Linked DNA regions of Coturnix japonica. The protein of the gene in region 1 interacts with the protein of each later gene in a pairwise test. Links are inferred from orthologs where the notes say so. Each region holds a gene or a part of one and is shown on either strand. Other genes may lie near its edges.

Region 1 (3,823 bases):
CAAGCCATTCTATGATTCTATGATCCCTGGCCTGTAAATCAAATAGTAACTGTAAAACATTGTCCACGTGTTGTGGTGATTACACAACTGCAGTATTTAGCTGAGGTGAGAGGTGGTAGAAAATGAGGCCTGATACGTCATGAAGACTCTTCACAAACCAGTGCCATGAGTATCCCTTCAAGACAGCATCCTTAATTTCATGGGGAAAATTCACTTCTTGCTTTTTCCAAACTTCACTGTTTTGAAGTATCTCCTTGAAATAGCTCCTTTCTATTCCCTTTTCACTGCCTGAGTTCTATGTAAGGAACAAAAAGGTCAAGGCTGAAAGTCTTCCCTGCTGTTCTCTGTAAAATTCACTTGCCTTTATTTTTCCTAGCCAAAAATACTGCCACCCTCAGACTTATAAAAGTGCTCTGTTAAAATTAAATAATAATGAGCAGATCTATTAAGCTACACTAATAAATAATTTCACTATTTCATTAAATGAACCAATACATTAGTTTCTGATCTTTGATGCAGAAGGAAAAGTACCTTTTTAGGGTATAAACTCAAGGGATTTCTTTGTATTGTATCTCAGATTTCTTTCAGAAAACGCTCTCTGTAAATATGTTCTATGTGAGCAATTTAACATTTTATGTATATTCTGAATGTATCAGCTGCCTGATTATTAAAACAGCTGTATGTGTTTTTGTTTTATGCTGCAAGTTCTATTTCCCTTGAGGAAGGGAAGCTGAATACACTGGATGTCAATAGTGACTCACTTCACCCAGCTGAATGGTGATTAGGGCTTTTACAGCATTTGAATCATAGCAAGATACTTGTGTCAGATTGTACAGCTGAGTATTGCGCACAGCACCGAAGATTAAAATGAGAAATGGACCAAACATGACACTGTAGCTGGGAGTGATGATATAGATAACTAGCCTTGTCCCCATTGATTTGTCTGCAGTAAGTGACAATGATCTGTTAATTTTGCCTTTGCAGCAGATAGGAAATGATCTGGTTGCCTTGCAGAAGCAGCAGCCACCTACATAAAAGCAGTGTCTACATGAGGAAGCATCTCTAAAAAAGCCAATTAAGTAATATCTCTTCCAAGAATCCCATGAGGCAGCGTGTTCTCAGTAACTCTTTGTTCACTGCTATGTACTGCACAATAGGCTGAAGAGGGAGAGTGTGTTTTTTTTAATGAATGGTAAATGGGGAGGGACATAATGTCATCAGATCGTGATGTCAGCCCAATGAATGAAATACTTACCCAGTGTATTGCTTCAGGACCAAGAAAAAAGGGACACCATCTCAGTTTGGCTTCCTAGAATAAATTGTCTTTTGCTGACGATGTCATCTTTCCCACGTGTCATGAATAATCCATTTAAATTGGGACTTAAATAACCAGAAGTGAAGAAACTCGTGGAATAGTGCTTGTTTGTTCTTTTGTACATCCTCAGAGCTGCTAGTGGAACACCCCTTTGCAGGCGCTCCTAATGGGCTCAGTGAGTTGAAGAGCTATCGCTGTATTTTGTTGCTCTCTATCTAGCCCAATGTTCTGCTTTTGTCTGCAGAATTCTTTGTTGAAGCTACAAGCGCTCGAAACCGATCTGTGCTCTGCGTTTCTGCCAACCCAGGAGGAAACTCCCCAGCTGCCGGCACCCAAGGATCCAGCCCCTTCTTCAGTCCAAACCAGTGTGCAAGCTGATGGGGCCAGTAGCGGAGGTAAGGGATCGTGTCATGATGTGCTCTCATTTGCAATTATAAAACAGCCTTGTGACTCGCAGTCTAATCTCAGATTTGCAGTCCTCTGGGAAATAGTGCCGAGCTGATGCAAAGCACCGTTTCCTGATAGAAACGCTAATGTAAAAAGGGGTGATACTTGTTAAAAGATCAGATAAAAAGAGCTATAGCCTTCTGTCTTTCTGCAAGGGAAATCTGATCTTTCAAATAGATTTTAAGAATCCTGATTCTATTCAGTTTGTCTGTTATTTATTCAAATGAATTTATGCTTTTTGTCTCCTGTGCCTGTATTGTGTGAGATCCTCTGCCGTATCATGTAATTCTATTTCTGTCGTTCTTTTTGTCAGACCAATATCACTTCATTTCTCCTATTATTGATTTTAGTTTAATGTATCAGCGGAGAGATAGTGAAGGTGATTCTTAACAGCATGTGCATTTTAATCATTCATGATTCTCTATTATTACTCATCTGGGCAAATTGTGTTGTGTTACCTCTCTCTTTCCTCAGTATGGAAACCAGTCCTTGCAATAAATAGCCCAGAGGCTCTGCACTATTTTTGTCAATTCATAGCTTCTAGTCACTGGGTTGATAGTCGTGATGCTTGGGAGAGGAATCACGGTTCGTGAAAAATAGGCCAAAGGCAATATGACTAATAAATCTCACAGACAAGTGACATGAATACACAAACACTTAAACTGTTGACCATATATGGTCCAAATTAAAGCAGATAGGTAATTAATCACTGTACAATTGACATTTTATGTCTGAATAAATGCTGGGTTCAAAAGAACTTATTTCTAAAGCTGTTTGCTTAGAATTTTCAGCAAGAAATAACAGCAAGTTATATACCTAAAAAGATGACAAATTATAGCTTTTATATGTACTTAAGTTTGATGTTTGTATTGGAAAATTAAGGGAAATGATAAGTAGAATCCAAATTATGATCAAGTAGAAGGAATGTAAAGAACACTGCATTTCCTGTTGCTTTGAGTATGGAGTTTTTAGCTTTAAAAAGGGTACTTTTGCCCAGCTATGCAAACGTCTTAATGGCTGTGGGTACAGGTATTGAAATTTCAATAGTGTTATTGCTGTGGATCTAAGGCAGACAAAGATTTATTAACTGTGCTGCACAAGAAGAGACATTTTGCAGCCCATCCAAAACCATCCTTCTGCACTGACTCTTCCTTTATGTCAAGGATGAGTTTTCCTCCTCTTCATGTAGTTTACCAAATTACTTTGTTGTGGTAGTTTGCAATTTATTGTTAGGATGGTTCATAATAGGCTTCCTTTAATTTTAATTTTAATTTTAATTTATATTTTCTCATTATTTGCTTTTGCTTTAGATTGGTAGAGAACACCAACTTCAGGTGTTCTCTCTAGCTCCTATTTGCCCATCTCCATCTACACACAGAAATGTTGGATGATATGGCATTCCTGCCATGAAGTTCAGAGCATGCTCTGTCCCTCTGGCAGTTCAAACTTGTGCTTCAGTTGAAGTTTACTTATTAAAACGGATTTTAATAGAATCTCAGTTCTAACACCTGTGCTGTGATTGGTTGAATTTTCCTTATTGAGTTCCTTTTTTTTATAGATGGTGCTTGTCTTAATTCTGTCTCTCAGATTATTAACGGAATCTGATTCATTGAGTTTAGGTACAGTTGTCACATGAGACTATTGGCTTTTTCAGGTTGAACTTGGATGGACATCCAAAGACTTGCACCAGTCTAGAAACAGACTATATAGGGGATGCACAGTATTCACCATGTGTCTAGTTATTCGCTTCTGCTTAATCAATCAGGCAATAGAAAAAAAATGTACAATATTTTTAATATATCTTTGTGTAATGTATTTCATAAAATATATACATGTACACTTACATATGTGGTTAAAAGAAAGCCCAGCAGTTTGTTAAAATGACAGGCTACTTTCAGTACAAATTTTAAGGGATCAGTGGTAAATCTTGCTGAAACGAGTCATCAGTTTCCTTTTGGATATGGAAAAAATTGAACTAGAGCTGGCAAAATAAGTCCATGAAGAACTGAAAAGGGGTAATAAGCAAGATTTCTTAACTAGAAAAAGAGAAAAGCAGAATAT
Region 2 (4,571 bases), about 26 Mb from region 1:
TAATTTCCACTTTGTATTTTTGTATGCCAAGACAATAGGGCACCATCTAATCTGTAACCTGCCACTGTTTTACCTTTTCCTCTTCCATCTTCAACTCTCAGAAAATCAATTTTTAAAATAATCTGAGCATATAAAATTTAGAAATAAATCACACTGATAAAATTTTTATACTGACTTGAGATTACACACAAACTCTTTCTTTCCTTCTTCTGACACAAACAAGAGAAAAAACTCATAGAAGAAACTTTATGATTAACACAGAAGCCTGATTACAAAGGGCAATTACTAATTTTGAAGTACACAAGAAAGGCATGACCTGATTGCAGCACAGTGATTAAGATACAGATATAGATTAAGATTAGGATGTACTGATATGACCGGAAGAGCAAAATTAAAGTCACCTTCCTAACAGCAAGTGATTTACAAAAGATTTATACCAGACAGAAGTGGATGTCAAGCAAAGGTATTTCATATTTTACTTCTGTTCTGAAGCATTTAGGTTCATACCATCGCATCCATTCCTGTGAAAGCTAGGAAATTACACACCTTTGAAATAGTGGCTCTTATCCTGAATCTGAAGCATTTGTACATGCATGGTTCACTTAATATGACTCTGAACTGATGAGTTATTTACAGCATTAAATCAAGCACATATCTGCAGGAGTCAAAAATCATCAAGTCTTTTTTCAATGACCGGTCCCACTTTGATTTTTTTTTTTCCCCCAGTATCTGAAGGAATCTTTTACAGAACTGTGAATGGTGCTGAATGGTCATTCTCAGACAGTGAGAAGTATAGTTGGAGCCAGACTCTTCTTTCTAGGATGAGCAGTTCCTTTGCCACAATTAGACACTGAAGAACCCTTCACAAAAAAACAGTCGTTTCTTTAACAAGGGACACTGAACACTATCCCAGCCTAGAGCAGCTTTTTCAGTTTGAAATACAAAAGCAGTCAAGTCTCAAAAACTTCAAAGAATGCTTTTCATTTTCTTTTCTCCTTGATCCACTGATAGAGCAGTTCATTTTCTTGAATTCTGTGAAATGACTTTTTCAGTCATCAGACCTGTGTAACAAATCGCTGCCTCAATCATCAAATGCTCCCATTTGACTCATCTGCTTTTGCTTTGGCCTTTGGGTAGCAAGCCTCATTTCTGTAACATTTTCTAAATTCGCTTTTGTGAACTCTTCTCCTTCAGTTGCACTTTGCTCCATTTTAAGAAATAATTGCATTTCCTGCAACATAATGTCTTAGTCTCAGGTTTTTACATTTCACCAGAACCCTCATTTTCTGTCTTACATAGAGCAACATCTTCTTTTTAAAAGCACAGTCTCATAGCATGTTACCATCATAATGTGGTGCTTTTTAAGTAGTAAATGCCACAACATAACATTTATACAAAATTCTCTGTTTCATTCTACTAACTTAGAACAGCATTAAGGCATTTATACTTTCACATATATTGCTTTGCTTCTTGTAGTCAAAGAGCTCCTAATTTCTGTTCTTTTTTCTGCTGCAGTCTACTCTAAAGACAGTATCTCCTTTGAGGAAAACTCTAACAAGACAGAGTGTCAATAATTCTAATCTTTCACAACGTGGAAAATGCTGGAAGGATATCAAGTTCCTTTCCTCTAGGCTTTTTCTGCCTCAGAGCAAATAGGCCAACTTCGCTTAGGTATGTCCTGCAGGGAATGTAGTTAGTCTTTTTCAAGGTGTAAGAACAAATCCTGTAATATGAATTATATTTTCAACCAGCTATTTACATTTCCAGGTATTCGATCCAGTGATGTACAAATCAAAAAGCTGCAGAAGCTCAGAGCATAGTAATCTCATCTGCAAGGCTGCCCCAGAATAGCATACAACGGGCTGGGTTCAGATCCTTGTGTACAGAGCCCGACTGGGAAAGAAGTGCTGTCATTTCCCATTAACAGTGATGCAGCTGAGTTGAGCCTAATCACTTTAACTTTGTTTTTATGTAGTCAGTTTTCCCATTTTCTTGGGAATTGTATGACAATTGCAGATTTTAGCCTACTTCCATAACCGCTAAGGTTAGGCATCAATCTTCAAAAGACAAATAAATCTGAACAGCTATGTTATTAAAAATGGATGGTGAACACTCCACAGAAAAGGAAGATGGAAGGAAAAAAAAAGAAATGCTTTTGAACACCACAAGAACAGTATAAAGTATTTGGCCCTAGAGAAATAAAGTCAGAGCTGTTTGATCAAAAATCCCTGAATCCTGAGTGAGAATCAAGGGTTCAGAAATGCACACAAGTTTGACAAGATTCAGACGGTCAGAGGCCTTTTGACTCCCCAAACATCCTTCTCTTGAATCTATTCTCCTGCTCCTCTGACAGCTCATTTCCATTCGTGTGTTTCCTGGGTGGGCTCCCTCAGCAGGGCTGTGCCATTGCTCTCTTCCTGACCCAGTTTTTCACTCTTCCCTTTCCTGAAGTTTCACCCTGAGCCTTCACTTCTCACAGTCTGTGGTCATCTTTCCAGGTGGCATCCCTGCACGGTGTAGTTTCTCCCCAGAGCCTTGGAGCAGCCACCTGTGGGGAAGCTGAGACTGGAGAGCAGAACCAGGGTCTGGGGCAGAGCCCTGAGGGAAGGACTGTAGGTGGGCCCAACCTGCTCTGCCCTCCCCTCAGTGCATTCCCTGGCTTCAAGCAGCCAGCCCTGCACATTGCAGTGAGCCCTCACATACCTGCACTTGCCCACAAGTCAGAAATGAACTTGGATACATTATTCCAACAAATTCAGCTCACAGAAAAGCAGGCGGGTGAGAAGAGGCGCCTCATCCAACAAGGTTAGCCCCATGCCCGCCATCTTGCATGTCCCACAGTGTCAGTCACTGTGAAAGGCCTCTCCATATTCCGGGATCATCCCAACAAATGTGGAGTGGCACCACTGTGAAATCATGAGGGGAGTTTTGTTGGAAAAGATTTTCAGGCAGATGTTCTGGGACTTCTTGCCAGCGCTGCTGCTTTGCAAGAACAGAAGGTTTACAAACTGACCACACCTGCTTACAGGTTTTCCTTGTTTTGCAGTTAAATTTGAAATAAACAAATATCATGAAAAAAATAACCAGCTAAAAGAAGAGCTGAACACTGCAACGCTAAAATTAGAAACTGAGGTAAGTAGGAACGTTTATAGTACAGATAAGGAATACATTGCATTTATAAGCACATGAATTATTCTTTTGGGGAATCTATTTGTGGACAGTTTGAGCAGCTCAGTCTGAGCAGTCTTGGAACTTGTTATAGCACTTTTTCATTTAAAAGATGAATTTATTAGAGGTTTGGAAATCATTCCCGTGTTTCCCACTGCCATTCCTTAAAGGCCTTATTTGTTTCACAGACAATATGTGGAAACATTCACTGTATTTACTTCACAAGACCTTGAGACATATACTAAAGATCTTCCCGTGAGCCTGGGCTCAGCACTGTGCCAGGCCTTAGAGTTTTGTTAGGGACAGTCTAGACAGGAGGAAGTTTCCAAACCTATTCAACACTTTTAACATTTTACTATGCTCTCTGTTTAACCAAACTGCAGACATAGTTTTCGATTAACCATTCAGTTTTGCAGAGCCCTTTCACCATTCATACCTATAAGGACAAATGATTTAAAAATCCATTTGCTTGTGCCTGAAAAATAAAGTCTACTTATCATCCCCATGTACTTAAGTATCTGTGCTGATGGAATGTGTGTGCACAACAGGAAAGCTTATGGAGTCTCCTTTGAAGTTAGAACTATTGTGCATTTAAATAAACACCTTCAAGAAACTTTTGGGGGATTATCTCACATAGATGATTTGAGGATGATCATCATCCTTCCAAAACCAGATTCTTCTGTCATTTTTAAGGGTTATGCATTTTATACATATAAGCACATACACACATGTTGACATTGCTATGAGATGATCAGATAAAGAAATTCATAAACAAATGTTCACTGATTGTAAAATGAGACTATTATCTTGCAAGCAGTTGGTCATGTATGCATGCCACAGAAGACCTTTAACACAGTAACTTATTTAGCCAACACATTATATCTGAGTGATGTTTGTTAGGTAAAGCCCTTTGTAGTATCACTCCTACATTTATTTATGAACACTATTTCATGTTTATACTGCTAATTTGTTATTGATGCAGCGTGATTTACAATCAACATTTATGTGGAAGGTATAGAGCATCCCAGGAGTAGAGCTATTATTGTAAATGACTAATGGGAAGAGCTGAAGAACTGTTCCTAATTAAATCTTGAGTGCCTTAGCCACCTAGTATTCTATCTGGTATCCACAAAAATATGTTTTATTTGCCTGTTTATTCTGACATTGATTCATTTATAAATAGGACACGATACAGAAAATAAGTGGAATGGAAAAATGCATTTCAATCAGACTGTACTTAGGTTTAAAGGTTACATAAATATTGAAATTATTAAAAGTCATTTATTTTTCAGTACAGGAATTAAGTTTATGTGTGTCTACAATATTTAATATAATTCAGATAGCATTAAATAATGTTCAGTAATGCTGTTTAATTTATCCCACACCAAATAACTGCACTTTAG

Evidence for each region.
Region 2: the proteins of FAM13C (region 1) and CCDC172 interact in binary tests that used the Homo sapiens proteins (3 or more experiments, as listed by UniProt). The two-hybrid records come from large-scale screens. The link is inferred for Coturnix japonica from reciprocal best matches to the Homo sapiens genes FAM13C and CCDC172.

Annotation. Positions count from the first base shown.
Region 1 is NC_029521.1:70,975-74,797, forward strand, and holds part of FAM13C (protein FAM13C), read left to right. Parts: intron 1-1,559; coding exon 1,560-1,710; intron 1,711-3,823.
Region 2 is NC_029521.1:25,610,250-25,614,820, forward strand, and holds the start of CCDC172 (coiled-coil domain-containing protein 172), read left to right. Parts: upstream 1-1,661; 5' UTR 1,662-2,726; coding exon 2,727-2,805; intron 2,806-3,046; coding exon 3,047-3,132; intron 3,133-4,571.